4 linked regions of the Neodiprion lecontei genome follow. The protein of the gene in region 2 interacts with the protein of the main gene of each other region in a pairwise test. Links are inferred from orthologs where the notes say so. Each region holds a gene or a part of one and is shown on either strand. Other genes may lie near its edges.

What was found.
Region 1: the proteins of S-phase kinase-associated protein 1 (region 2) and beta-TrCP interact in a two-hybrid assay, tested with the Drosophila melanogaster proteins (3 studies listed by BioGRID). The link is inferred for Neodiprion lecontei from reciprocal best matches to the Drosophila melanogaster genes SkpA and slmb.
Region 3: the proteins of S-phase kinase-associated protein 1 (region 2) and S-phase kinase-associated protein 2 interact in a two-hybrid assay, tested with the Drosophila melanogaster proteins (2 studies listed by BioGRID). The link is inferred for Neodiprion lecontei from reciprocal best matches to the Drosophila melanogaster genes SkpA and Skp2.
Region 4: the proteins of S-phase kinase-associated protein 1 (region 2) and F-box only protein 33 interact in a two-hybrid assay, tested with the Drosophila melanogaster proteins (2 studies listed by BioGRID). The link is inferred for Neodiprion lecontei from reciprocal best matches to the Drosophila melanogaster genes SkpA and CG4911.

Annotation. Positions count from the first base shown.
Region 1 is NC_060265.1:30,823,964-30,830,869, reverse strand, and holds the start of beta-TrCP, read right to left. Parts: upstream 4,109-6,906; 5' UTR 3,942-4,108; coding exon 3,888-3,941; intron 1-3,887. Other genes in the region: acylpyruvase FAHD1, mitochondrial, read left to right, coding at 5,783-5,811, 6,081-6,156.
Region 2 is NC_060265.1:8,167,074-8,173,614, reverse strand, and holds S-phase kinase-associated protein 1, read right to left. Parts: upstream 3,101-6,541; 5' UTR 2,951-3,100; intron 2,048-2,950; coding exon 1,769-2,047; intron 1,591-1,768; coding exon 1,381-1,590; 3' UTR 1,362-1,380; downstream 1-1,361.
Region 3 is NC_060263.1:36,417,265-36,426,159, forward strand, and holds S-phase kinase-associated protein 2, read left to right. Parts: upstream 1-2,812; 5' UTR 2,813-2,951; coding exon 2,952-3,031; intron 3,032-3,182; exon of another isoform or gene 3,183-3,274; coding exon of another isoform or gene 3,275-3,300; intron 3,301-4,168; coding exon 4,169-4,492; intron 4,493-5,071; coding exon 5,072-5,357; intron 5,358-5,441; coding exon 5,442-5,878; intron 5,879-5,986; coding exon 5,987-6,114; intron 6,115-6,245; coding exon 6,246-6,592; 3' UTR 6,593-6,874; downstream 6,875-8,895. Other genes in the region: uncharacterized protein LOC124294177, read left to right, coding at 184-328, 1,206-1,341; eukaryotic translation initiation factor 3 subunit G, read right to left, coding at 7,765-8,180, 8,568-8,895.
Region 4 is NC_060264.1:3,977,404-3,986,389, forward strand, and holds the start of F-box only protein 33, read right to left. Parts: upstream 6,135-8,986; 5' UTR 5,523-6,134; coding exon 5,235-5,522; intron 4,890-5,234; coding exon 4,789-4,889; intron 4,702-4,788; coding exon 4,507-4,701; intron 4,435-4,506; coding exon 4,033-4,434; intron 3,952-4,032; coding exon 3,712-3,951; intron 3,630-3,711; coding exon 3,443-3,629; intron 3,280-3,442; coding exon 3,148-3,279; 3' UTR 1-3,147. Other genes in the region: uncharacterized protein LOC107227470, read left to right, coding at 6,641-7,024, 7,112-7,227, 7,304-7,469; uncharacterized protein LOC124292600, read right to left, coding at 8,445-8,660, 8,718-8,912.

The sequences.
Region 1 (6,906 bases), about 23 Mb from region 2:
ATCGTTAATACAACGACTTATTTTCAGGAAACATTATTTCGCAAATGTAGGATCGTCTCAACATTGAGTAGTATATTTTTAAAAAGCAGTGTATTCAGATTTTGTAAATTAAGCTTCTTCAAATCCGTGCTAAATTTTCAAAACAATCGTTTCAGTTTCGATAATTCCCTACATCAACGTTAGGTACTAAACTTCAATCTGGTATCAATTCTCTCTAAATACCGGAGCAAGATCAGAGAGATCCGAATTTCGATACATGCAGGTTCAAGCTTCTTTTACACGCGTTGTTCAATAACCTCGCGTACTTAACCGGAAATCGGAAGTAACCAAAGACCCGTGATGCGGATGTGTGAGTTCAAGGCTTCCTCCGTACCTACATATTCACGTATCAATATTTTGTACACAATCATTATTTTCGATGCGTCGTGTCCCTGAAGCGCGTAATTCGCAACCATGAAAGGACGGGTTTATACCTACGTAACCCAGTGTATGGATAAGAAAAAAAAAGAAAAAATAAAAAGAAAAAAATTTCCGCAGGACCTTCACCAATCAGAGTTGTACATGTATGGTAAAAAGGTGAAAAAAAAAAAGAACCACCGGGATGAATAGGTGAGCAGTCAGCACCACCTTACGTGTCCTTCGCTTGACCATCTCCGGGCTTAATAATCCGTCGCTTTCGGGTGTAGGTACCGCGATTCAATCGCAACCTTGAGAGTTCGTCAAAAGTTTCTAGGTATACTGTTCCTGAGCAACGTGTATACCGGATCGTAACACAAAGTGATAGGATTTACGCGTGAGCCGAATTCTCAATCTCATTATATGTACAATATGTACATACGCTCTTTTGTATACGAAGTTTGGTCACTGTTTCGTTATACTTTGGTTTTAATTATCTTTTGTCGTACAAAGCTTCGTCATTCTTTTATTTTTTTCTTAGTGATTATTATTTCGTAAGTACGGATCGTATTTGTCAATGCCCGATCAAAACCGAGCCTAGATTGAGAAAATCGAGTTTTGTGCTGCGGTTGGTCGAAAACATGAATCGGAATCGACTCTCTCTCATTTGCTGGAACGAAATTAATCGGCTATACCTATCCGTGACTGCTGCAACTAATGCTACATAACGATTAGGTTGGATTTCGTGGCTGCGGTAAGAATCGTCCGTATAATATTCTTTTTCTTTTTCCTATTCTTACTGTAATCTTTGTTTTCGATCTTCTAGTTATCGATCCACGTTAATTAAAGCAAGTCAAGTACACGGAAGACAGAAGCTTGTCAAGGCCTGCGGAAAATTTTCAAACAAAACAATATATATATGTTAAGGAAGGTCCATAATTAATCAACAGGGAAAACTACGAACTCTGTAGCCCGCCAACGCAAAGCAGACCTGATTCTGTTTCGTGGAACAAATTTCGCGGCACTGGCCGTCTAACGTGACGAAGAATTAATTACACGTTGTACAAATTATACACCCGCGTGGCGTAATACACATACGTATTATGCGAACACAGGCTTTACGACGTAGGAGGGAAATTAATGAATTAATTAATCAAGTAATTGTACCTGCAACACTTTGACACGTACCGTACATAATACACATCCTAAGGTGAGAGTAATCGTGCCGGCTTTAGCAACCAGGGCAATGCTTTCTGAATTCAATCGATTTGAACTTGATTGAAACACACCCGGCATCCCTTTGCGATGCGATAAAAAAAATTGAAGAAAGATAAACGTCGCTGCGGTTAGCAACGTTACCGTATCGGAAGATTGAAACAAAAATTACCATTTTGCACCTTAAGAATAACTGGAGAAGTTGAATTTACAAAATCAGAGTTCGTTCATGCTTTATCAACAGTTGCTTAAATATCAAGTCATCCTAAAGTTGCAAAATAACGACTTTTTCTAAAGACACAACATTGCAATAACTTTACAAACTTCAGCCAGATAGAAATGAAACGACCGTCGATTCAATCAAAAATCTCTTAAACTCCACCGCGATTTTACCTTTGTTATTTTGATATTGAGACTCTCATTGTTATATCACGTACGTTGATCAGGGTTCGCTCGACGGATCGGGTGTCGAATTTCTGGCCTACTTACGCCCCTGTGTACGCATATCATACACACGTACTTGCAAGGGTGTGAGGGCCGTGGCACGGCATGACGTACATACACCGACAAACAGTGGAACTGACTGACTGCCGAGAGGGTGGCTCGGGTTGGGTCGTGAAAGGGGGGGGACTAAAACATTGATTATGTAGTAACCCGCTCTCGGGGGCTGTGGCGACGCTTTGCAGGAGAAAGGAAGAAAGAGGGGGTGGATTCGATCAACGGCACAGAAGGGATGGGGGAGGGGATTTTTCGCCCCGGTTGCGTATTCACCTTTGACCCTCTTCTCGGAGCAAGCCAGCGCAACGTTGGCAACGAAACGAAACGGGACGGAGAACCTCGTTCTTCCTCTTCCTCTTCTTTTCCTTTGTTTCAAGAAGCGGAGGGAAAAGGAGGGAAAGGGAGAGAAAGCGAATACGCACACAGGTATAAGAGACATGTAAACTGTACGGTATAACGGTGACGCGTCGAGGAGACCGTAATACATTGTGTTTGTACATACGTCTATGTAGCGTATTACGTACATATGTATAAATATACGCCTAACCGACACGGGGGCCAAACGATACACAGTTTCGTGTTATGCGGAGACCCCGCGCCCTTTGACCCCTGTGCTTTCTCATCGCTGGTGCTCACCTCCCCCATTGAACGCTGAATTTGTACAGTTACTTGTTCGAGGTACTTCCGAAATGCGACATTCTCACGGATTGAAACCTTTGTGACTTTTGTAGAGTTTGTGAAGAAAAATAACTGGACGGAAATTACTGATGAATGTGTTTCTTTGTTTTTAGAATATTGCAGAGGTTTACTGACGATTAAATTCATTTTCTATGCAGTAATCAACAAAGGTCGTTGATTCTTTGTTTTTGACTTACGCTTGAATCGGAAATAATCTGTACGGAAGGAAAATGGCGAAAACATTTATTATTTTTCTTGTGGTACTTTATTACGATGATTTTCGACTTGTTGAGAGAAAAATATTTAAATCGTAACGGTATTTCGTCGGATGTAGTTCAGAATGAATTGTTGATGAAAATATTCGTCCTACAAAGAAAGTGAAAAGTAATATCAACAACTAATTAATTATCTCCTAAAGTACGTAATAATTTGCGCGGGTCGTCGAAAGAATAGATTAATTATTATCATTGCCATATTCTTCTGTACAACATGAAAAACATTGTTATTATTTTTTTTCGTGTTATTTGATTAACCAATTTTGATATTCACGGAAGAAACGTCAAATAGTGATATTTCGGAAAATAGGGTATCTAAGTTTACGAATTGGTACCTCAAATATTATTTTGAACATATTTTCATTCACGGCAAGAAAAATAAAATATGCCTTTAAGAATGTTCTTTTCTTCGTTACTTTGGTCGGTTTGTTCTGTATTTTTAACGAGTCCACTCCGCTTGGATTAGTACTGATATTGGTTTATGCGTCCTATGTGGGGATAGAAATGACCAAGTGTGTGTGTGTGTGTGTGTGTGACTGTGTGTTTGTGTGCACGTCTTGTATGCACGATAGCTGAGGGAAATTGACGATGATGCATCCCGTTGAATCGGAGCGACGTCTCATAACCTCCGGAACTGATTATTTGATAGGACGAGCGGTTAACGCGGGGGAAAAAATAGTTAGGTTAAATATAGCGAAACGCTGTGTAAAATGGTGTGAAAATAGTGAGGGGGAGGCAGGTTTCGGTTTCCTATTCCCTCCGCGGTTAAGAAACATAAGATGGCCGTTTGTTTCGGGAGGAAAATACGGGTCGGTTGATACGCACCTGACTATACGTGTTCGGGTCCTCGATTACTTTGTCTGTTTCCATGTTAATCATTATCGGTTCACACTGTATCCTCGATAAACTAATTACCTATAACTCACGATTTAACATTGAACGGATTCAATACGGCTCTGCGAACGTTTAACACCCACTCGACAACACTCTTGGACTACTCGCAGCCGCGGACAACGCTGCTCGGGTGTTCGCCATGCACAGGAAGTCGATGTACGGAATTTTACCAACATAACAAATCGCAAATAACTATGCACCGTATCGCGGCTACGTGGACTCGGACTTCTTTGTTGGCTGCAGCGCTGAATTCCTTGGTTATTTACCAAATAGCTAGTACTAATTATCCACACTCGATCATAGATGGCGACTCGAACTTGTATTACATGCTGGCACTCTGGGAGTCTCTCGTGAGCATTGTTCGCGAGCGGCCGATGAAGAAGTTACCGGATCGCTGACACGGCTTCGTACGGCGGCAAGACCACTTACCTACCGAGTAATCGTCACGAAAATTTTCCAAGGGTTAAATTCTTCCGTTAACAATTGTATACATACATATTTGTTGTTTTGCTTTACCAATAACAAAGGGGGCCTTTTCTTTTACATCAATTTCCTGACACAGATCGACAATAAGTGATATCATCGATCGGATTTAATAGAATAGGCCAATGAAATCACTTGGTATCGTTTTGTGTTAAAAAATTAACGCAGAAGCAAAGCGCCCATTATTTTAGAATTAGTTTAAATCTTATGTTCGTACATTCAGAAAAGAGAATGTTTTGCGATTTCTTCTCCTCATTATAAATGTATTTTCACACATATTCTGTTCGGTCGAAAGTCGTCATCAAATCCAAGTTTACGTCTGACTCCGTGTGATACGAAAATTCTCTTAAAATCCGATCGCTCTGTGCCAATCGGTGCCAGTCGTATCCGAGCAGCCGGAGTGAAACCACGCGCGCGATCAGTTCGGAATTTAAATCACGCCGTTCAGGCAAACTTGATCATGTTATTTGGTCAGTGTGTTCCCACCAAACTTATTTGTGAATAATACACGAATGGCAGCGTCTGGCTCGAAGAAAAAATGAGTTAATTGAATGAAAACAGCCTATGAACATTGTACGTGAGTTTTGTGCGTGGTGCGCTTTGTGTATCGACTTTCCATTGTTTTGTGCAACTTCAGCTTCTAGCGATCGTCATTTTTTTTTGTTTGTTTGCTGATGACCGGTAAATGCGTAGTTTTGTATTGTTACCGAGTTTATCCTGTCGGTTGAGGCAACCAACGAACATACGTACTACAGTACAGAAAGTGAGAATGATCAAGTGTTGTTACGGGGTGGATTCGTGATTTATATAACTTTCCAAAGTTTTCTAGATACGTTATTGGACAGATTGAGAGTGCTTTCGTGCAGACTTTTGACAAGTCACAAGCGTTTTCTGACGAGACAAGGCTACGATAATCTCCCGTTGCGGTAATTTTTCCCATGTTCTGATAAAACGGACGTTGCGAAACGTGGCTGTCGAGATCGTTTCTCGGATTTCGGATCGCGGATCGCGTATCATGTTGAAGTTAGTAACGTTACCGGTAAGCATTCGTGGTGCGGAAATTCCGTTATTCTGAGATTTTGGAAGTGCTTGAAATTCAGTGAACCGTAATGAAATAAAAAATACCAACATTTTGCAATCTCACTTCCTTCAAACTCATTATAAAAATAAGAAAAAAGTGATTTTTTCCCAATGTTTCGTTACGATAACGTTAGTAACGTCAACCTTTTACGTTTATAAAATGTAATTGTAACGCGTTTATTAGTGCGTAGGTCGTACTGCCGTTGTTTTTTGTGCATAAAAAACTAAAATTCGGAACTTTAGCGAATGGAAATACTGCTACAATGTGTAGCGCGGCGGCTCGTGTTTATCGGTGAGTATTTTTACCCATTACGAGTCACCGATTCCATCTTTATCCGATTGTTTTCCTGGAGTCCGACGATACTGTAATCCTTTATTACCATGTAAAAATTTGATTAACCTTCTATTATCATTCGTTTCTGCAGTTCAGTTATTATCAAATCACAAACCACCGAAATATAATCGTGGAAAACAAAATTGTTTTAACAGACAGTATTTAGTGATACGAAATATGATTTAGCTTTATTGTGTGAGTAATAATCGGTTACATTTTGATTGCAGTGTCAAAAGTGCGTCGCTTGACGATTCAACTACGAGAACTCCTACATGCAGTAAAGTGAGGAGCAACCCAGAGGAGGTAAGGATTAACTTATCTTAATAATTGCTTAATAATTAAATGTGGTATGTTTGGAACCGAATTTCTGTCCCTGTTTAACATGCAGTGAATATATATGGAAGTAGACAACAAAAATATAAATAATTTCAGAACCGAAAATCCAGTCTGCTTGAATTAATTCGAGTTTTCTTATTTGTTTCTTTCCAGAGCTGGGCAGAGACATCCGAGTAACTTCTCCAATATTCGGCAACGTTGGTGAGTTTGCACGTGTTAGGTTACGGGTATTTCCCTGGAACTCCTATGTCTGTTACGTGGCGTGGCGGTAAAAATTGCTACACAATCTTCGATTTCTTAGCTGCATGGATAGGCTCATTCGCGATCGCAACGGTGCTTGACTTTCATTGTCAGTCGAATGATTTTTTTGCAATTTATCTATTTTACCATGGGTTAGTCGAAGTTAGAAATTTTGCACGTTGTTGAAAGTGGAATGAGCACCGCGACAGGTAACCATCACTTACTCGGCATTCGCGAGAACGAATTTTGTTTAGCTATACTGATATAATAATCTACGTTTGAATTTACAAATGCCGTCGTTTAAGCGGTGGATTTATCTGAGGTTCAATTATATAAACACAATTGCTTTATCGTTGAAATTTCAAAATCTGGCATAACGTAACGTAATCCAATTGCCTGCTCTATCTTGAATAATATTAAATTTTCTATCAGCCAGCAAGTATTGATCGACTGCAGATTTAGCTCGTTTAGTCGAAT
Region 2 (6,541 bases):
GTTCCTCTTGTCGCAGAGTTCATGCAAAAGAGAAATTCGAAATGAAGGTAACTATCGGAATAATTAATTATTATCAGAATAATTATTACATAATCACTTCATCTACTCACTGAATTGATTGAATATAATCACCAGATCAACAAGTGGTTGATTACTGACAATTGTGGAAGTATTTTTTCACGATACTTTGATTTGAGGTTAGGATTACAACCGTCATTCATTTCTACTTGAATTTAAATACATTCGTAATTCGCATAATACGAACGGCACCCAATCAATGCATTATCTAAGATCAATATTTAATGCTTACCTTTCGTATGGATAATTCAATTTCTATTATTTTAGGCTGGGCTGCTGATGTACGAAAAGGAAATAACAGCAGACATTTATTTCCTACAATTCAATTTTAGTTCTTTCCACCCTTGTTTGTTTTTGTAGAAAATGGTGCGCGCATACGTTCATTCCTTCAAATCCGTAACATGAGGGAAACAGAAACAAGCTATCATCACCTTAATCAGTGATCCCGAATTTGAGAAAAAAGTTTTCAATTATTTGTTTTACGAAAAATGAATTTTATTATTTACGCATATTAATATTACCCTTTTCTTCTTGTTATAGGATCTAATGTTTACATTAAGGGTTGATATATTTTATAAGTAATTAAATTAAGAAGAATGAAGTACAGCAGATTTGAATGAGGAAAAAAAAACTAATTCTGCATTGCCGAATTCGTTTAACTGATATTTTACATTCCGAACAAAAAGATAGCTAATTTATTATTATTTCGAAGTTCAGTCACATTGTTAATCACATATTTTATCAAATGATTCGATACACGTATTCACAAGAGATTGGACTAAAGGAAGAAGATCAAAGCTTCACAGATGAGATGCAGATATAACAGATTTCGAAGATATTGATATTTAAATAGACTGAAGTTATACTTGGTTAATTATACACAGAAATTAATCGTGCTATTGTTAAATTAATACTTTCGTGGTATGGATCGTTAAACCGAAAAATCATGTTTTCCATTAGAGAGTGAAAACAGACCGAAAGAAATTGTATCCAGAATGTAAATCTTTCTATTAACGTAGCCAGCATACCTAGAAAATATTCATATCAGCTGCAAAAATTTATTTCTCCAAGCAATTGTTGCTGGTATTTCTAATTTCGAATTAGGGATATTGTACGCAAATGGAGAAACTCGGCTGGAACAGGAATATTCCATTATTGCTAAATTTTTCAGAGGGTGAGTTTTTCTGTTGCGACAAGCTTGAAATTTGAGTTTGCGAAAGACATCTTCAGATTTAACACGCGATAAACCTACAGTTACAGATGATTTAGAAAGCATTTCTTTCGTCCCTCCTCGGATTCTTTCTACTTCTCTTCGCACCATTCATTCTCCTTGCGAACCTGCTCCTCTTCTGAAGCTGTAAAATCGTTCTTTATATTGAACGTCTTACGGATTTCTTCTGGTGTTTTTCCCTTTATCATGTTTGCCACAGTCTTGCACGTTACATCTAGAAGTCCTTTGATGTCCAAGTAATTTGCTGCCAAAATCAGTTCGAATAAGGTTCCTTGATCAACCTGTAAATAAATAAAACGAAGCAAATTAGTAGCTGTCGTTAAAACTATAATGAATCTTGCACAGACTACGTTTCAAAGATGTTTAAGAGTGAAAAATTGTCAAAGAAAATTTTCAAATGAAAGGAATGTGTCTCTTATTAATTATAATATTAGCATTTTGATTGAATGCAAAATTGACCTTCAAAAAATCAGCATCCCAAGAGCTGATGTCGTCAGTTCGCTTCTCCTTGTTTTCATCATCTTCAGGTGGTGGTGGATCATCTTTGTGATACGTAGCCCATTGAATGACCTTTCTCAGGATAGCAGAGTTAACATTTGGTAGGGGAACAATTTCATCTTCATCTTCATCCATTCCCAAGTCCTCCAGCATGGTTTTTATCGTGACTGAACATTTCGCAATTTCAACATCCACGTCGAATACTTCGCCATCCGAACTCTGCAGCTTTATGTTCGGCATCTGTGATTAAAAACAAGACAAACATAAGTTCAGTTACGTCAATATTTCAGGTACAAGAATCGACCTTCTTCTATTATTATTGTTATGTGTACAAGTTTCTTTGTCTTTGAACAACTCCTAGTCCATGTTATCGATCTGTGTATAAACTACATTTCAATGTCATTCAGTCCGTTTACCACAGAGTGAATTGAGTTTGGGACATGGACGTAAACATTTTCTTTCAACGCATTGAACTGAAAAATGCTTACGCATAGCATTACAGAGATTTTTGATGTAGAAAAAAACTGAAAAATAAAATCGATTTCCGCGAAAAGTATGAGGGTATGTTTATTTTTATAACTTGTAAATCTGAGTCATACAACGTTATGAAAATTCCGACGCACGAAGTGAATACGAAAAATGCTGCATGGACAATGACGCGTTTGATTTCGTGTAATTTCGAAAAAGAATATTCGGTCTTTCTCCGCAGCGAGTAAAATTTTTACGGATGAGAACGTCGAGCAGGAAACGTCAGGTAGCGAGTGTCGACCACAGGGATAAGATATTGGCGCGCACGGCAACAACCTTGCGAGAATGAGGTTCGCCGTTGACCCAAGGTTTTGGATAAGGGTTATAAACCCAATAAAATTCGACGGCACGTTAGTGGCGGGCGTATCCGGTCATAATATGCGGAGAAGACACGTTCCTGGAGGGTTTAATGCAAAGCAGCTCATGTCTGGTGTTGAAAATCGACGAATAATTATAAATCATAACAACATGCGCGGGCAACGAATATTCGTCCATTAGCCGATTTCCCGTGCAACGACTTTTCCAACTTCAAGGCGATAAACAATGCCCAGCGAATGTTTTGTTACAAACGTTTTGACCGAGGCAAGAAGCTCCGTAAATAAATTATCGAATTACCTTTCAAGTTACTTCCAATTCTCCGTTGTGTGAAACCGATAATGAATCACAGCGTAACGTTGCCAGGCTCTCTAGTACACTCTCTAGTCTTTAGTTTCTACCTCCCTCTTTTTCGCTTTCTGCTCACCCTGCGATCTCTCTCTGATCATCGACGACAAACTTCAGTCAGCAACACGCAGGCGCAACGGCTCATAGATGGCGCTGTCGGCAGTCAGGACCGTGCTTAAATTTTCAAAATTGGAACACTTCAAACTGAGCGTTGTTGGAGCGATCAAACATCGTGTTTCATGTTGAGTATTTACAATTTGGAAAATAAAACTCATACTTTACTGAGATTTGATTTTAAATTTGTTATTTTTGAAGAATTAATATGCTGAAAACAGCCGACTGGCGTAGGGCGCTATGAATTGCGTTTACGTATTGCGGAAAATTTTGGAAGAGCAGTAAATTGAAAAGGAAATTTAAAATGGCTGTAAGTCTCACATTTTTTTGCTTGAATTCCACAAACAAAATAACTATGGAGCGAAGAAAAAACAGCTTTTATCTGTTTTTTTCAAATTTTCAAGTGCGGGTACTGCCGTATATTAGTGATAACACATAGTTTAGTATTTTAGAATAAGTATTTATTGAGTGGGTTATATATAATTATGAGCGTCGCTTCTCACTCCTGTGTCTCAAATTTACCAACTAGGCTTATATAAAAGTCCCTAGTCCGCAACAGTCACTTGCAGCCTTTCTATCCTATTAAGTAGCATAAACTTTCCGTAATTCGACTTTTCCATTCAAATTTGAATTAAGAAAATGACCGTGTCCCAATATGTCAGAAAATACAAAACTTGCACGTTGCATTTGAACTTTATAACCATCCTAGAGAACTGACGTCGTTAATTTTTGCATTATTCTGTGTAATAAAACGCTAAATAAGCCCGATTGAATCGCTGACCCAGAACGGATCGCCATTGTCGGAATTTTTCCGCCGTGGTCTGTGTAAAGAGCGCGAAGGATCGTTTACTGGGCTAGAATCGTAGAGAGAATCAACGATTCAAGTATTTTGGTCGCGTCTAGTATAAACTAACTGAAGCGTATTAATGAAATTAAAACAAAGCTTTCTTGATTGAGTCTGTTAGTCGAGCTAGAAAAGGGTAGAGCAGCTAATCATGATTGCTCCAACTGAATGAGTACGAACAATAAGTTAAAATAAGTGCTGCTCTTCGCCCTCTTCAACTTTATAACGGGACCAGAAGCTCTTCCCAATGAAACGCATTAAATAAGTCTTAAGAGAAATATCTGTCCAGCGACTGTAGCTGTATAATAATTTTTAACTCGTGCATTACGTTATACTTGCGACGAAATTATTGTGCCAATATTAACGAAAAGCTAGGTTTGAAGATAGCAAAACCTGCAATTAGATATCACAGTAAATCAAATCGAATTGAGTACTGCAAAAACAGAATTGGCATGAATTGGAAAAAAGAAATTAAAACAAATTCAAAAGAATTCGCACATATGTAAGTATTTTCAATTCGCTTCAAATCGAGTTAATTCGGTTTTCGGACTTACTCAATTCTATTCAATTCATTTTGGTTTATTGGGATATCTTCAATTGTTATTGGCGATTTAATGAAGTTATTCAGTTTATGCTTCCGTTAAAGTTGGAATCATAAACGATGAAAGTGTAGAAATTGCGACATGTTTTTACGTGAAAACATTTCTGACAGAAACTTCTGGAATCGAATATTTCAAATGATGTTTGTTTAAAATCTCGCGACTCTTTCCGAAAAAAGTCTCACGTTGCGATAGACTCTAGATAAAATTTTTCTCTCCATGTATACCATTCAAAGAAAGATTCAGGTCAAAACACTCAGACTTTCTCTGTTTATCCTATTCTTTACTCTATGTTGTCACAAAAAATATTTAACTTTCGTCGATTTTGTAGCTCTCCAATTTTTTATTTCAACAATTTGTGTGACTTCGTAAGATCATGTAATTCATTGTTAGAATTGCTCTCAGCGGTGTCCAATTCAATCAATCATTCCGATAATGTATTAATTTCGTTAATTGAAGCAAATTCCTGCAACTGAAAATTATACACACGTGAGTAATATTCCTAGATCAATATTGACCGAGTCAAACTCTGGCACTAACATCTTAGCAATGGACATCGGGTCTGGCAAAATACCTTATTCGTGGCTTCACTAATAGAAACAAGTCATTGAATTAACTAAATACGTGGTCACGGGCGGCATTCAAGATATGCTGGTCTAGCAAAATGTTTAGTTAGTGTCAACTAAATTGTTGATTTCAACGACGATTGAAACCCGCAGCATCGCACTCGTGCCACTTGACCAATTTTCAAGATTAATATAACAGTATTAAAGGAATCTTAGGAAAAAATCTAAGGAATCGATCAGTAGCTTGACTGCTTGAGCTACTGCAGAAGCTACAGGTGACCCGATCCCGTGTATCTGAATAAAATACAGTCCGGTAGATGCCGAGCGGTGCCAAGTTTCCATAACACATTATTTTCCACTCAATGGTCAAACTTTTTAGAGTCAGAAGCCAAAGGTGAGATTATTCAGTGCCAGTAAATATCTGGAGCGTGATTAAACGTGGGAAGTCAATTGTGGACGACACACCGCAGGTTTGAATTTAGTATAATCAGTTTGTGAATTAAATTATGATTTTGCGAACAATCCGTGCTTCGGCAACTGCAGCCGAAGTATATATGCACGACATTCGTTAAAACTAGATTCATCGCGTGCATTTAACGAGACGATTTTTCTTCATTCGGTGAGCCAATTGAAAAGTTTCATTTATGAACAGGTCGACTGAGTTGCAGTAAGCGGATGTGAAAAAATTCACCCTTTTCCACACGGGATCACGTAAGAAGTTTGTGCAGTTCAAGGTGTTACATGGTGAAATTCCGTGATTTATGGGAATAGACAAATCCTAGTTTGCTGTACGCTCTAGCCTCTGTGTGTACAGAGAGAGTCGTCTGTCTCTCTCTTGGCGCCAGCATCCCACGCAACGTCTCAGTCAGCTCGATAGTAAAAATCGTGGGAAGATGAGAAAAGGCTACTGGTATCCTACTTCAATGGATAAAATAGAGATTTTACAATAAGTCACGTATTGTGTTTCGGCAAAAAATTATCGCGGCCAATGTCAGTGGCATGTTATTGCGCATAACTGCTTTCCCAACTCCAACTCACTTAGAAGGTCAAACTTTCTGCCCCTGCACGAACAGGGAAAATTTCGACGAGCATTTTTTTTTTCTGGCGATGACGCAGCAATATCGGGGGGCAAAAAGATTCGAAACGTCGGAAGGAATCACTTGCTTTTCGGTATGCCTCGGTGAAAATAATTTCATCAATATTTCTACAACTTGTATTATACGTTGCGAGTTTATTTTCGTAAGAGTTATAGATGGCTGATGGTTTGCGAAATCGAGCGAGCTTATCAACTTCAAACTATTACCATATTCCTTTGTGCCGATCGATAAACTGTGAAAATGAATACATGTTTATATTTTTTCAACAATATATATAAAAAATTAGTTCTATCAGAAAATAATTCTTGCCGATTAATGTTATT
Region 3 (8,895 bases), on a different chromosome or scaffold from region 2:
TGTCAATTACTGATGATCAATTAACTGAATTGAATTTCAGAAATTTCAGACATTCTTACCGCTAACTTTTTTCTGGTACTCATAAATTTTGTCCGTTTCTATCGCCGGTTACATTTAAACCAACGATAAGTTGCAGATTTATGCTCGATATTCTGGTTGTTTGGTAGTCTGTTCTTATTCCAGCCAACGTATTAACTCCGAAATTTTACTCTCGCGATGCGGAGCCATGCGATTCTCCTGAAATCAGTCAAACAGTGGCCAAAATCACCGAGGAAGAGCAAAGAGTCCCCAAGACGGTCCACCGTTGGCCCCTTCTTACCAGCCATACGTGAGTTATCAAATCTTCAAAACAGACAACAAGAATTAATGAAATAAAATGAAAAAAATGATAGGTGTTGAATATTTGTTTGTTACCGCCCCGGAGTTACATTACATTAAATAGTATAGGTATACAGTACACGTAGGTTGTGAAAGTCGGTATTAGGTATGTCCTACAATTAGCACCGAAAGCTGTAATTGCAACTTTCTCAAAAGTAAATTAAAAACCTATTTAATAGTTAACATATTAATCTTTCTCATGCGCGGCACGAACTGCTGCGCTTTCCCTATTTGATATCGGATCCAGTATTTTCCGCTTATTTTCTTCTCATTTCTACTGTTCACCCGACTAATCTTGAACTTCGAGTTTACGGTTCGGTGCACTGAACTTTCTTTCCAGATCTAAACGCGTCGCGGTAACATTTGTCGCCCTACATATTTTCGCCTCGAATACCGTTGTATGAACTCAACGAATATCTCAAGTTGCGAATGAATCGGATATTACTCCAGATTGGTACGCTAAATATCTGAATAAAAATAAATTTACGCCTTTGCAAAATATAACAATAATTCTTTCGAAGAGAGAGTAAAATCCTTGAAGCAGATTGATCTCCGATTCTTATTCTTGTAGTTGTTAATTAATTTTTAGTAAATTTTACTTTCAATTTCTTACTGTAAATTAAATCACCGTCTTTTGTATCATATACGCAGGTATGTCAAAGCATGCGTAGCCAATTTAGATATTGCCTGCCACTCCCGCCCATTATACATATAGTACGTACGCTGTACTATATCTGTACAAATCTACTTTCTTGTGTGCCTGTAACAGATAATAGTCCTCGATTACCACTATTATTATCGTTGATAAAATAGCTATTTTGTTCCAGGTATGGCTGGTGGCACGATAGGGGAATACAACCGACAGACCCACGCTTCAACTTTCATAAGAAGACATCAGACATGGTCAGCTACCAAATGAGGATCTACGCCATAGACAGGAAGTTGAAGGGTCTCGGTTATTAACCTACGCGAAAGAGTCGGAGCCCCTATTGTGGGAAAACCTAACATTGTATAATATGATAGTGCGGTTAGATTTCTAAAAAAGTCTGCATACTGTAAAATTTCAATTTTCCCGTACTGACAAGTATGCTTATAGTTTGCACGACAAAAATTACATACCTAGAACTGCAAATAGATCGGTCGTAGTGTTTTCACGTAATATCTGATTTTCGGCAAGGCTAATCCTCAACTCAACGTTAATTGCGCCTTGATTATTAAGTCAATTGGCATCCTTTGACTGGACGTAAGCTACGTTCTAACCGAGGGTACGATCATTTACTTTGGAATAGATTTTATTTATAAGCATATTGGCCACAGGCGCGATTAAATTTGTTCAATGTGTACAAAGTGCGATACGTAGTCCAGAATTTATCTGATAACGTATGCTTCGTCTCCAATGTTTGAGAAAAACTTCAATTCTATAGTGGATGGAAGTTATAATATATCTTGCGAGTAGTTTATTAGACTGTCTTTATTACAGTATTACATAATACGAATGTCACGAATATCTTGTACATTAGTTTTTATTTTTGTTGATTATATACTTATTTTAGAAACGAATAAAAATAGTAGTATAGTCAGACACGCAGTGATAACGGGAATAATAAACTTCATTTCTTCACCTGCACGAGTTGCGTACATTATCTTCATTGATGTGACTCGTACGAATAATATTTTCAATTCAAAATTACGCAAAGCGCAATTGCTTCTTCACTGCCTCCAAGAAGGCGCATTTTATTATAATAAGACCTAATGTGGATATATCTTTATAATTTATTATCGATCTCCTCGGTATAAAGTATAGGTATAAAAATATTTACTGAGCATTATATTCACGATAAATTATTCCTCACCCGACTATTTATCTATACACATGTTTGTATTTTTTTCTTGATAACGAGGCGGACAGTAATAGATTTCGTATTTCGAGGTGGACAGTAATAGATCGAGTGGAATATCCCTGTGAATTTGAAAAAAATTTCATGGTATTATTATTTTTGTAGCAATAATTCACTGAAGTACGGATTTCTCAGATTAAAAATTTTAGCCAGATTGGAAAATTCGCGCAAAAACTAAAGTGATATACTTGATGACATGCGTTAGTGGTGAGAAATTTTAGTTGCCAAAAGCTCGTCTCGTACATTTTTTCACTCAATTACAATTACAGTGCCACGTTTAGTATGAATTATCTCCGTTTAATCGCTACTACGCGTAGCGGTTGAGCAACCGCGTCGTAGCCAGTGGAGTTAACGCACTACAAAACGACGATATAACAGGCGTACGTGGCACATTTCCGTTTTACGTACGAGTGTGGAGCGTGAAAGGGTTTCGAAGATTTAAATTTTGGCGGGATAGCGGGACCACCAATCGATACTTGCAAGTCGATACAGTGAAGTCGATGGAGTTAAATGAACCAATAGAATTGCCGGATTTGTAGTGACTCCATATTTCTCGACGAATCTCGAACTAAACCGGTCAATCGGAGGCCGCCATTGGCGATTGTTTTATTTTCTGAGTCCGTGTCGCGATAGAAAAAAAAGTTAACGTAGAAGCTTGTCAATATTCCGCCAAAAATGAATCCCGGCGTGGAAGAGGACACGCGACTTCCCGAGGATTTAGTGGATGATATCGATGAAATATCGCCGCCGGAAAGGTAAGCGAACGCTCATAAATACTGTCGGTAATTTCAGGAATTTCTTCAACCTTAAATTATTCCAATTCCGGCTGTCCGACATTACCTGTTGCTTTGGAAGCGCAGGTGCCAGTCTTCCGCGCAGGTGAGGTTAAGAAATCCTTGCTTGGATTTTCGACCTCAAATCACAACAAACCTTCATACTGACCGGGTCTATATTCTCAAAGTCGTTTACCGCGGTTAACCGACAAAACCGAGGCTGCAATGGACCAGAACAGTTGGTTCCACAGGTTGTTTTTCCCTCCAAAAATACGCACTGCACTTGGGCCCTTCTCCCTTTATCGTGATTTATTTTTACGGTGAAAAGTGGCTACACCTATACCTAGTTTTTGGGCAGATGTTTAGATTCCGTGTTCAGAGAAGCAACAAGTGACCATCTTGAAACTGATCCCTCGTGTAGTCGAGCTTAGCTTTTAGCCACGAAAAAATACGGATACACATTTTTCACCCTATAGTTACACACGTTCATCTTCTTCGTATTTGCCGAAAACTTGAGTCGGCGTCAGAAATCCTTTATTGAGAAAATTTACATTTTTCTGTCAACTTAGGCTACTGTGGTTTTGTATATCAGTTTCCCCATTTTGTCTTCTACCTTGTTATCTGATACTCGATTTCTTTGTGTATGAATATTCTCTGTCTGCAGTCCTAGACAAAATCCTATCATATCACAAATAATACTTATCACCCAGTCATTCAATTTTTTTCTATCTTCAGTTATTGTTTTAATTTATTTCATATCGTTTTAAAATCATCAAAAAGCATTGTTCTTAAAATTAACAATTTCAAGCTGGCTTCTCATTCTTACAGAGTATCCATATTCAACGAATATGAAAGTATGCATTAACGTTCAACGTTGCAAAAGTAAAAAAATCATGGAGACTAACTTCAAGTGAAAAAAAATATTTCGACGTTCTGTGCTCAATTGAAGAACAGATTTTATGCCTAGCCTATATTTAGGAAAGTTAGAGACAACTATTTACCGTTTTGATTAAATTGATTCATGGTACTTACAGTATTAAAAATGCTCATTGTATTCATTGGGCACTTGCTTTTTTTATTGTCTCTGAAATTGATGCATATTTCATCTACAATCTTTAGCAAGCGTATACGGTTGGATGATGGCTCTAACAACAATCTCAACAGCACGTTAAATAGTGCAACAAAAAACAATACACGCTGGACTTGTGCAGGAGATACAAGTCTGGTAGAGCCAGAGATTCTGGAAGATATGGGTGTCAGTATGTTGGAAGACGAAGAAATGAGTGGCGGATCAGTGAAAAAATTGAAAACACACGAGTGCACCATCTCACCAACTGGTTCTCAGAACAGGAGAACGCAATCTACAGAGAATGGAGATATTGTTTACGGAAGTCACAGTACCATGTATCGAGATTCAAGTTTTGAGACTGTTCATTTAGAGAGGTAGGTAATATCCCTTATGAAGGTAATTTTTACATTTTCGATCTGTGAACAACCTTAGCAGAATTGTGATCAAAGCCCATTTGTACATTATGTGGTAGAACTTAGGGATCCAATAATAGGAATGAGATATCTCGCTTGTGACTCATTCTGTTTTGAATTCTTAGCTACTGTTAGAAGAGAACTCATTTCATATTATGCAATTTTGCAAATTACAGTTTCCATACCACAGTAATGAAGTAATAGAATTCATGAACTCAGTTTGATTTATTCTAATCAAGGTTGAAGGTAGTAACGTTATCGTAACGAAACATTGGGGAAGTAATCACTATTTTCTTAATTTTACAATGATTTTGAAGGAACTAAGATTTCGAATCATGAGTGTTTTTATTTTGTTATTGTTTATTAAATTTCAGACAATTCCAAAGCTGTCAAATTTGATGCTATTTGATGTTGTTTTTTCTCAGCATCAAACGTTACGATAATGTTACTAACTTCAATATGATTAATTCTTGAGACGAATGTTCATTTTCACGGCTTTGTAATGATTGGTTATTAATAAATTTAATAACTTGTTCACAGATCAGAGAGATCACAAGATCCATTTGAGTTGGAGGATGCTTCTGTATATTTGTCTATCGGCAATGAGTCTGGTTATTCGTCAAGAGTTGAAACAGAAACATTTGGAGACATGAAACAAAGTTTCAGCAAAGATGAATTGGGAGACATGGTAGATAAGAACGGATTGGATCAATTTTATTTGTACAGACGAAAGAAAAGACCGTCTATTACTGGTGAAGATAAATTCAACAAACTCTCTGACGAAATGATTCTGATGATCTTAAGGTGGCTTCCGAAAAAATGCTTGGTAACCACCATCTGAATTTTCTCTACAACGTGCATTTCTGTTTCTATTTTTACGTATTTAAATATTTGTATAATCTGTCTTCAGGTGCGTTCAATGCTTGTTTGCAAACGATGGTGTCAGATTGCCCGTGACGAGGCATTGTGGAGTCGTTTAGACCTTGGTGGTAAAGTTTTGGGAGAAGGAACCCTGGGACATATCCTGCCACGAGGTGTTCAAACATTGAGACTGGCTCAAGCAGAAATCGCAGACCCAGTATTTCAGCCAAGCAGTGAAACTCTGAACGAAAATTACGTCAGTAAGCTGCAATACCTAGATTTGTCAATGTCCGTTATATCGCCTGATGGATTGGCAGCTTTGTTATCCGTGTGTAAATTTTTGAAAAAATTATCTCTCGAGAAATGTACACTGAATAGACTTTGCTGTACTGCTATAAGCAAAAATCAAGACTTGGAAGTTCTAAATTTAACCATGTGTGAAGGAATTGATATAAAATGTCTCCAGGATGTTCTAAAATTGTCAAGGTGAGGTACTTGCTTCCCAATTTATACTTGTTATTTTTTATTTGAAAGCTGTAATCTCAGTCTTATTTTCATTATTGTTACCTGTATAACATTTCTTGTTCATTTTAGATTGAATGCTCTTAACGTTGCTTGGTGTGGCTTGGATTTAGAATGTATGACATTACTTTGTCGACAATTACCAAGCACCATTACCCGGCTGAATATTGCCGGATGTCGGAAAACCATGACAGATGATAGTAAGTATATAAATATATAAATATAAATATACATAATAATATAAATATGTATAATAATAGGCTATTAAATACTATGACCCTCGACGAAGTATTTAAAAGTTTGTTATTTATTTATTGACTTATTTTTGCAGATGTCAAAGAGTTGGTAAAATGCTGCCCGCGTATCATCGAACTCGATATGAGTGATTGTACAATGCTTACAATCAATGCCACCCAAAGTCTATTAAGCCTCACAAAGTTAGAACACTTAGCCCTAAGTCGCTGCTACAGTATTCCTCCTACCACTTATTTAAGACTAGCTCACATGCCCTGCCTAATGTACCTGGACGTCTTTGGATTAATGGCCGAACCTACTTTAGATACACTGCAAGCAAGTTGCGGAAATACTGAAATAAACAAGTTCCTATACAGTTCAGTCGCCAGACCGACAGTTGGTGTTAGGCGAACGAGTATTTGGGGTCTTAGAGTTAGAGATTAGGAAGCTAGAAGAATTGAAAAAAATCTCATTTAGTGATTTACGAAAAACCAGAGAATTCGACTAGTAGTAGGTATAGTTGATTACAAATCGCGTTTTGTCGCAGTAACTGAGAATAAATCGGACTTAATCTCTCGTAAATACGAGTAAACGATTTCTTGAAAACTGAAGTAATAATAATAAAGTAAAAAGTTCATTAAGGTATGTATTTCGAAAGTAGTGCCAGAAAGCGGTAATAGAATTGATTTTCATTTTTGTAAATAAATTCTCATACAAGACGATTAACACAATAACATAATAATAATAATAATAATAATAATAATAATGACAATAATGTTGTTAATGATCAGTCAATTATCTGCCAAATGTGCTTACTTGTTGAATATCAATTTTTTTTTTGTATAAAATCGCGAAATTCAGCACTGTAAAAAACCTGTAATACTTTGAAAGGTAATGATTATTTTTATAAATGATATTAGGAGAATTTTTCTTTCTTATTTTTATGTCACACAGTCCACACATTGTAATCTGCATAACGTGAATTAATGAATTTTACAATGCTTCTCCCGACATGAGTGATGTGAAGCGAGTTTGATTTCTTGTGATTTTTTTTTTTGGAAACCCATGATACTAGATGTAAGAATGTATGTATACTATTTTTAAGATGGATAGAAAGGAAAGTCCTTTGATACTAAAGATAATTCGGTATTTTCCTTTCTTGCATCAATATAGTACCGAATTTTCCTGGAAATCCGGGCTTACTGGATGATTATATTATTGACGACTATGTGAATTAATTATTATTATGTATATTCTATAAAAATGAATCATTATGGTTAATCTGAGTTCAATTCTCTTTTGCTTAGTTTTCAGCAATACCCAACTCACTTTAAAGTTATTTTGTTGCAAGTGTGTAACTATCAATAATCAGAGGAGTTATATTTTGGACAATTTATTAAAGAATCAAAGATACAACTGCAGAGATTGCAAAACAATACCTTGGTTACTGAAACGTGGAATCCGTTCATTCAATTTATATATATATATATAAACATTGAAATATTTGATTATAATTTATTACACAAGATACATATCAATAGGGTCTTAACGAATGATCAATTATTGCGTCAGAAGGATTTAATCTTGTAAAACGGAGTCACATGCGCAATTGACATCTAATTACTTTGTGTGGGGGGTTTGGACCAGTCCACATTTAAAATAAGGTGATCGTAACCATGTCCATGTAATTGAACAATAGCTTTAGCAGCATCAGCTCGGAATTTATAATGAACATAAGCAAATCCTTTACACGAATTAGTTAGCTTTTCCTTAGCAAGGTACAGTTTTTGAATTGGTCCAAAAGGCTTAACAAGCTCTTCCAAATCGGCGTCGGAAGTGCTTTCAGAGAGGTTGGAAATTCGGATCGCTGTTGTATCGTCACGCTTCGTCATCTGCATCGAATCTCCACGTCTATTACCGCCATCTCGCATATTGGGTGGTACGTATCTACTACCCTGAGGTTTATTTAGATCAGACATTGCTCCAGGTGCTCCTGGCACTCCAGCTGGTTTCTTATCATCTGGAACTTTACCTGGAGTAAAACATTTCAAGATTATCAGTAAATTAGAAAGATGGACTGAGAAAAGCTTAATTCTCTTTTGGTACCGAACACAATTACTGGTTGAAGGTAAAAATATTTTAACAATTGAATGGTCGGTTCATCTGAGGAATAATAAAATGTTCAAACTTTAAGGACGCAGTTCTAACATTTGGAAAAATGTTTCCTTTGAGACAAAAACTTCCTGTTACAGTATAAAATCTCTCAGTATTTCGTCTTACTTTTTCGAAATTTTACTAATACCTATAAATCTATTCTAATCGCAGAACTTGTATAGCGAGGGCTCCTGAATATTATAAAGTTTTTGGATGAGTGAATGCAAGAACTTCAAATAATGGGTAAATATCAGTATCAAGTTACCTCCAGCGAGTATAGTGTCTTTGTAAGGACACTTTGAAGTCCAGTGATCACCATTGCAGTTACGACACTTGACGACACCCTTGTCCCCGATACTCTTCAATTTGTCAAGTGAGTCTTCTTCGACCTTGTTCTCTTCTTCCTTATTTGAAATGAACTGCATGAAGACATCTTCTGCTCCGACAGTTGTGGCTGGATTTGGTCCAGGTCTGTCGTCCGAGGAGTCTCCAAACTTTGCCCAGTTTTTCCGCACGGCTATAGTCTTTGATACTATACGACGTTCCACCTTATATGTACGGACAACTTTTACTTTCTTATCGTCTTCGTTGTA
Region 4 (8,986 bases), on a different chromosome or scaffold from region 2:
AATATATACATATTAGTAGTTTTTTCAAAAAATAGATCTTCGCATGTTTTGCAATTTTTTCTACACAATTTGTGATTTCTATTTTACACCATTTTTGATATGGGCAGGCTTGTTTCTTTTTTGTTTTTTTTTTTTTGTTTGTACAGTTTATTATTCAGGAGATCACATTCGAGTGAGCTGGAATTGGGCATATTCAGATCTAAACTACCTTGTGCACCGTCCCTCATAACACATATTCATAAAATGATAACTATATATTATGACAGACACAGAACGGTTGAAGTAAAATTTTTCAAATAATATCATCTCATCTTGTGCTTCATATATGTATATGTTCTCATTACTAACTCAAACCAATCCAATTTGGGAGTATGAATAGAATTGGATGAATTTTGTTTCTCTCAATCTCATGTATAAAGTTAAAATGATAAAATATTATTGTTTGTGCTTTTGATACTAGCTTTGTATAAACTTGAAAGCAAAACAGTAACTTTTTCGTTTGTTTTCTCAGTCACGTTCTATGAATATGAGCTTATTTCAGCACGGTCTTTTACTTATGTTTGTAGGCTCAGTCTTATATGATTTTGTCTCGAGTTAGTAATAGTTTAATATTTTACTATTACATAAAAGACCGTGCAGGCTTCTGGAAGTTTTGTACAATATATAATAGAGACGGTGCTTATATCACGTTATTCACCTACGCGCGGGTATCCCTGCATATTTTTTTTAAATCTTATTATTTGTTTCTTATTTTTTATATCATTCGTTCCGTTCTTAAACAACTTTACAAGACTTTTTTTAAATTCTTTCTCTTAGACGCCGCGTCCGTTAAATACACTTGTTGTTATGACTTCGGTTGTTAAATTTAAAAAGTAATTAACGAATCAAATTTAACAAAAATAATACAGCACCAACGGTTAACAAACAACAATTTTTACTCCACTCTATACTTAACATCACACTTTATAATTATTTTATTTATTTTACTTTAGTACTCTTTTTTCTTATTTCTCATATACGTGATCAGAATCAAACTGCTAAATCTCGTTGCTTCATTCTCTGCATTTTCATATTCGAGGTAAGTGTAGCAACGAGGTATTAGGAGCATGCGGGTGCCAAAATCAAACGCAGCAGAAATCAATCTGAGGATTAATTTTGCCACGCGCATACGCTTAACGGACTTAGAATTATTCTTGTTGGGCGTCGCGAGCAAAATTTTCATATTGAAAATTATTCTTAACGCGACTCAGGTACATATTGAGGCCCATTTTAACAGCTGAACTATTACATGTGTATGTATGATAATAGAAGGTAATATTCTATTTCATTTTACATTTGCTGCGTCGATCTCGATTACTCCTTCCAAACAAACAAGCATACATTGATTTTTTTTTTTTATAGATAACACTAACGTACGCGACGTTTAATACGTGAGATGTAGAAGATTCACATATAAAATGAAAAAAAGATGTATGTAGTTATAAGAATAATAAACAATTGATGCAATTAAATAATCGTACAAGGATTCGAAAAGTAAAATAGCTCCTCGGAATAAACGGTATACATATGATTGGCGTTGTTTTTTTTCTCCTCCTTGTTTTGTATCTATTCGTTCAACGGGTATTTCTTTGTAAACATTCAAAATCTCGCTTGAATCGCACGACAGAAATAGATACGTATTGCACCTTATAAATATTTAAGATTCGACATTTTAAAGTTACAATATTGACAGCTAATTTTCATTAACAATATTAGCTGGTAACGACTGCTAAGAGCGCGGTAGAAAAAAAGATTGTTGTATCTCCGGAACATTGCAGCGCAAAGAATGCCTAATTTACGATGCTAACTTGCTAAGTTTATATCGCAAAAAGATAGTTGAAGATAATTTTTCAGGCTTTATATTTCATACTTTTGTCCTTGCCTCTATTTAGATTATCAATTATTGAAATACATAAATAACTTGGATATCAACATTCTTGGCATTACGGCGCTCTTAGCTCTTTCACGAATGCTTAGCTGTTCGTGAGAAAAGCCAATCCGATTGGTCTTGGTATTAAAAATAACCTCGGATAGCTATTTGATTTTTTTACCAAACGATGTTTACCTCGTTTTAAAGTTTCAAGTTCTCATTAAAATATTCCGTATTTCGTAAAATTATAAATTACTTACGGTTGGCCTTGCGTTCTTTGTTTATTTTTTTCATTTTTTTTTGTTATTATATTATTAAGCAGTATACTACATTCCCAGTTTAATGGAAAAGTATTATTAACGCCTCTAACTATAAATGGAATATCGGAGCCTGCTCTGGAAGATTTTTTCCCCTTCGGTTTATTTACATTCCGTAAGGTCAGTGCGAGTTTAACATTAAATTTTAAGATTTTACGTTTAATTAGTTACCCTGTGTAATGGGTCCGAGTCACAAGAGGCTGTATCGAAGCCTTGTTGTCCAAGGTGTTAAGTAATAACAATTCTCAATGTAATTTATTTTAAAAATATTCCATTTCATCATACTCGCAGTTGACATTACGGACGCAAGATCTTCTCATTTTAATATCCTCCCTACGAAATTTAATCTAGGATGCGTTTGTGTTTGCAATAACGATCAATTTTCAAAAACAATAGCGTCGTCGATTTTGCAATTATAAATAGGTTATTATCAAATTACAGATTTATAACTGTTGTACAGAAACTCCAAGAATTACTGCTCGTTGCCAAAAAATTTTGTTAATCTGGCAGAGATAGATTTATTATATGATTAATAACCTTGGAGTACGTCTGACATGGCTATATGAGATATTTTCAAAATTCCATAATACAATTTATACCTGATAAATATTTTTCAGAGGACTCGTTACTTCTTTGAAGTACATATTCTGCAGTTAGGCATACTAGATGAGTTACAAACAAAGTGTCAAATTTAGATTATCGGGTCTTGGGATTTGAGAATTTGAAAAAATTTGTCAAACATGTAAACGCATCCAGATCATAGATTTTTGAGAATCGTATGCCTTTCTTAAAAATAAATCGATAGAAAAATAAAGGATATGACTTAGTGCCTGTGTTTCTGAGATGTGTAGTCCCCAGAAATGGCTTCTGTTGATAGATGGTGTGGTAGAAAACATGGTTTATGAATTTCTCATCGGAATCTTACTTCTGATCTCTTAGAACCATCGGCATTATAACTTCAATGCTATTGCCAGTTAGAGGATCCATAATGACAGGCGGTAACTCCGCGTCACTCAATGGCTGCCAAAACCCACCCATTATTTCACTAATTTCCTGGAAAAACCGTTTCATTTTCGATTAGTCAGATTATAGCAAATATAAGACCAACATGTACTCTAAGCATTGGGCGATCACAGTTGAGAAGCTGAAAATTTGAGACAACAGAGAATTCAATTTATGATGAAAAATCAATTCACGTCGAACGCTGTACACTTACATTCTTTGTAGCTTTGGCTGAACATGATTCGATCAAAATATCCCGCTCTGCGAATTCAAGTCGTTTCAACGTCGATCCTCGAAGACGAGTGATGGCTAATAGATCGTCTTGGAAATACTTATATCCAAGAAATACCAGCTCCATTAGTTTCGTGCAGGTCCAAGCAATGAGCACCAAGGGGTCAGGTCTATTTTAAACAGTATATAACGGTCAGGTAAACTAAGAAGACTGAATGAAAACTGGCATCGAGCTGTAGATGTGAATCTTACCTGTTCGACTCGTAAGTAGCTGGCAGGGATGGTTTCAGATCTATACAATCGATCCAGACAACAGACCTTAGAGTTTTCGAGTACCAGCTGGACAGTTGGTGCAAAGCTGTGACGTTAACGGCCTCACAAAAAAGTACCTTGAGTTCTGCTAGCGGCATCGCTGGTCTCAGAATGTCTGAATCTAGAACAATGACCGCATCGTAGGAGTGCAGCATATTGAGACGAAGCTCGCAGCGTGGGCTATAAGCGGAATAAACAAAATGACAATTATTTCGAGACAAGAGCAGTCATGCATACGGGTAATATTGAACTTCTGATTACTTTTTGTTAACGAATAACATCCAGGCGTTATTTGTGGTGCCAGGATGATCGTCGTCGAGGCCATGCACGTGGATCACTAGTCGTTCCATCAAACCATTGTCTAGTGCCTGGAGCAAAGTGTCGCTGACATTGTCATAGTCTATGGTCAGTATTGAGAGCCTTGCAAATGACCTGAATATAAAAGTGTCCAATTCCAGCAGAATATAGCCATCAGGGTCCTCTTTTATGGATGCTAGACTCAAGTGAGTCAAACTTTTTGCATGGTGGTATTGAAGCGCGTCCAAAATTACGCCCGAATTGGCGGTCAGGTCCTCCACACATCCCAGACTCAGGGCTTGGAGGGATATTGTTCTTTTGACAATTTCTAAAAGAGGTTCTAACACGGGTGTGCAGATTAGCCGTCTGAAAGGAGACGTCAATCTGTTACTGAATTTTGTACGAAATAATAAAAAATCAACAAGATTAAGTACGTACCCTTCATCTCTGTTGATCAATAGTCTCATTGGCCAATCAAAAGTACAGCTGGTCGGCTCTAAGTAAAGTTTACAAAGATGTACATTGGTGCCTAATTTAGCAAGAAGTCTGGATGTCTCGTCAACAAAATAACTAGTGGTGTCACATTTTATTATAACTTCTCGAACGCTGTGTGAAAAATAGTTGGCCAAGAATCTAAAAATGGGAAAAAATTCAATCTTACTGTTGCGACAAGATACATATACTTTCAGGTACTAGGATACGGCTTATATAAAAACACACCGAGCTCTCGGAATGTTATCCTCGTCCCTAACGTCCAGAGTGAATGTAATTTTCTTCCAAAAGCAAGGGTGAAAAAGGGCGTACCTCCAATTTCTGCATACCTGAAAATAATAATAATAATGATAAAAATAATAATAAAACAAATAATAAATATAGACCAAGTTGTCGGTTTAAAGTCAATTTATTTTGGATAATTATAGCCGACGTTGGCTGCAGATTTTTTTCTGTCAAGAAATTGGTGGTGCCAAGTTTAAAAAATAAATTCTCCCAATATTTCCGCAATTTTCGATATAATTATCAGTTGCATAAATGAAACTCGAGTACGTTATGCAAAGTGTAAATAAAATAAAAAATACTTGTATACAATGGGAATAGAAAGTGAAAGTATCTATGTATCTGGGTGACCGTAAGTACGGGTTGCGGTTTTAAGTTGGCAGCGAGCTTACTTGTGATGTTTTTATCTTTTCGTCGTGAGGTAAGTAGGAAAATATCTCGAATAAAATGACGCTGGGTAAATTGTTCCAGCAGCAGGGACTGTTGTCTTCTTGCGCCATTTCTGTCGTACGATTACCACTTTTCCAAGAGGAACAGCTGTTTGCCGTCCCTGATGACAGCTGCCCTTCTTCGCCTTCGCTTGTTGTTTTTGACTCTTGAAAATTCACAATCAGATCCAACGACTTGTCAGCCGTTCCGTATTGCGAATCGGAGCCAGCCACTCGCTGACTACGCACCATTTCCAAATTACGGATGATTAGTAGAAATTCACCTCCGCACGATCCCGCTTTTGAATATTTACAACGATATTACTATTGCGTTCGATCCCTTTGACCAACTGTCGCGTTTCTCCTTCGAGATACACACAACTACGTATTAGCCTGTTCCGATTGGTTATTAACCTTCACATACGTTTCGCACGCACAAGCGAATATCGTACACACGTTAACATCATTTCGCATTTACCTATCCATATACCTATGTATAATATGTACACCGTGGCCTGCAGGTATCTAGAGTATGTGGCGTCTGTTCCATTTTGCCACAATATATGTAGTAACGATTAAAATTATGATACGGACTCCCTACCGAAGGTAATCGATGCCTACTGCTAACACAACGTAATTAGATCAAAGCGAATGCTCAGAAAATCGACAATGAAACTGCAGAAAAATATGTCTGAATTATTTACGTTAAACTAATTCGAGTTATCTAATGTGTTTGAAAAAAACAAATTGACTTTCCCGACTCGTGACGTCATTCAGCAAGGTCACAAATATGATATTCCTCAAAGAGCTTTTGAATATCGAAACATACTTTTCGAATTTGACATTTGGATGGATAATACGTTTCCGTATAAATATTTGTCACGCGATAGTCTATATCAGCTAGAAGCTTGGATTAATCTGTAAAAAAAAAAGTTTGTACCACGGGTATGTACAATTCGTGTAGAATACTTGACGTACGAATTCAAACGCTTCTCACGAAATCAAGATGGCCACCGTGAAGAATTTGAAATATTTTTTTCACAATGTATGTACGAATATTTATAGCAACGATCAGCCGTCAAATTCTGTCTTAGGAGGATATAAAATTTCAACAATAATAGTTTAGGAATGACGAAGATATTTATTTGATTGTTCGCGTTTTAGCAATAATCTTTACATGTATTTACGGCATGTAATATAAGGAATGATGGAATTGAATCGTTGTTACGCGCCTCGAGAATTGTCAAAGTTCTGTCTGTATCAAAGCTCGAACCTGTCACGGCGGTCAACGCCAGTCAACGAGTGCTGACGAATACCAAATATCGTGTGAAATTTTTTTCTTCTGATTCCATTCTAAATGTCAGAAGAGAATGAAGCGTGTTGCCGGTCGAAATTTGAAATTCATAGTAATCACGTGTTATTGCTTGTGTATAACGATAACAAATTGTGATGATAATTTGATTATTACAAAACGCAATTTGTTAAAGTCGATTCCTGAATCGCGGGCTGGCAACCCGTCGAAACATGTTCCAGTACGATCTTTTAAAAGCACTGATGATTCGAAATTGTCAGACTCTAGTAGTTCAAAACTTACGAACTCATCACAGGAGAAAAATTCCCCTATCCAAAATGTCGAAGATAGTGATAGCGGCATTAAATCCAAAGATAATCGAACCGTAACCTTACTAACTGATCAAGTCAAAAAGGAGGCAAATCTTGATTTGAACGTCACCGCCCCACAAACGACGATACAGGTATCGCTCTAGTCGTTGTATGTACCATAAAATACGTTTCAGTATTTGCAAACAGCTCGCCTATATTCTGGTATATAATTCTTTCAGCCTCAAATACTTGGCCCAAATTTGTCTGTGAACACAGGTGCGTTGTGGCGTGGCATTTCTGTTTTCATGGGTCTGACTGTACTCGTGATCGCCTATATTATCCTACGTTGCGTAAGGTGGGCTGTAAGCGAAAAGAAAACAATTTTAATGTAATTTTTGAGATTGCTAATCCGGTATTTTCTATCTTCAAAGGTTAAGCAAAAATCGTACTCAAATGGTTCGAAAGTACGGTGTCCTTGCGCACAGGCAAGATGTTGAAATGCGGCCATTGCCATTGGATGACGAAGACGAAGACGACACGACTGTATTCGATGCCAGCGAAATAGGGATCCATGACAAACATCGGCAAACTGCGTAGTCACAGAGCGGGACACGATTTTCAACCAACTCAATGAATCAGGTATGCAAGATGAGGCAAATTGTATTTGCTTTGTACGCTAAGAAACCTTATATGTACGATTGATAACAAGTGCATGAGACTGAATGAATGTTGCACTATTGATGAATGTTGAACCAAGCAATGCAATATCAAGGCGTATTTTATTCCCCTTGTGTGGAATATGCCATTAGAAATGTATTGTGAATTTACCATTCATAATAGAAAATGCTCTGTAAACATGAGTGTAACTACATGACTAAATTTGCCTATCATGGTTTTTGAGCTTTATTTTGTATAAGTTATGATAGACACAAAATTTTGTTATTAATGTTATATGTAAGTATATATATACATATATATATTTTTTGGCTATACAAGCACATTTTATTCGGTTAAATATTCAATATATTATAATAGTAAATCTTAAATTTTCATTTTAACCGAATAAAAATACTATTGTAATTTATGATTAAAACTGTGATCAGATTTCAAATTTTTCTGCGCTCATACATGTCCTCAAAACACGTGGTAAATGAGTCGTGTTAATATCTAAAGTTTCAAAGATAAATATTATAGTTGAGTACAGAATGTCTATATTTTATTTAACACTAAGGTTTATAATAAAAATAATGTATAAAAGATAAAGCTGGACTAATTTTCTTCAAATTATATTATCTATAATGATATTGTATATACTTTCCCAGTATTTTTCTAAATTTCTCTATTACTGATCCCAGGTATACTAGTGCTTCGTCATTGTTCAATTTCCTTCATAATATACCAGCAGAAAGTAATTCGTCCCCATCCATCAAATGATCGTTCCTCGTCAATTCTATTCTCTCTATAAAATAATGTAATTTGAAAGCTAGCTAGGCGCCTTAGATACTGTCTAATGAGTTTGGAGGATAGATATTTATGGTATCTAATATCTTAGTATAACTAGAGAACAGAATTTCATAAATATCTCTTTTCAACTGCATGCAAGATGACGTCGGCCAGTCGATGCATTCCCTCTTTAGTTCTGATCGGTTTCAATGAAAAAATTTCAGCAATATCGACGCTTTCATCTCCTTGGGAAACATCCAAATCAAAGACCTCTGACGAATCTAGCATTGCAGATGGCACAGCTTCTATTGCAGCATTTATACCATGTACGGTTAGTTCTTGAACCTAAAGAATAGAAAAAACAGAGTAAATCTTGATCAATATTCTGCATTTCTGACACACCTTGTTCACGAAGATGTCCCAGGGCTTTTTTAGGACTGATCCTAGCAGGCTGATGTTTTTGCTAAGCTCGTCGTGGTAAAGCCTTAAGAGATCCTCATAATGCTGGTCCCGTAATGTTTTGTCAGTGCAAGTATAAATCAAGAAAGACGTGTCCAGAACTGGGCTCGCACATTGCGCCAATTGAAAATCTAACATAAGAGCGATGTGGTTTTCTCCTGCAGAGTTGCGAATCAAAAAATTTGAGGCCCATGTATCACCATGATTAATCA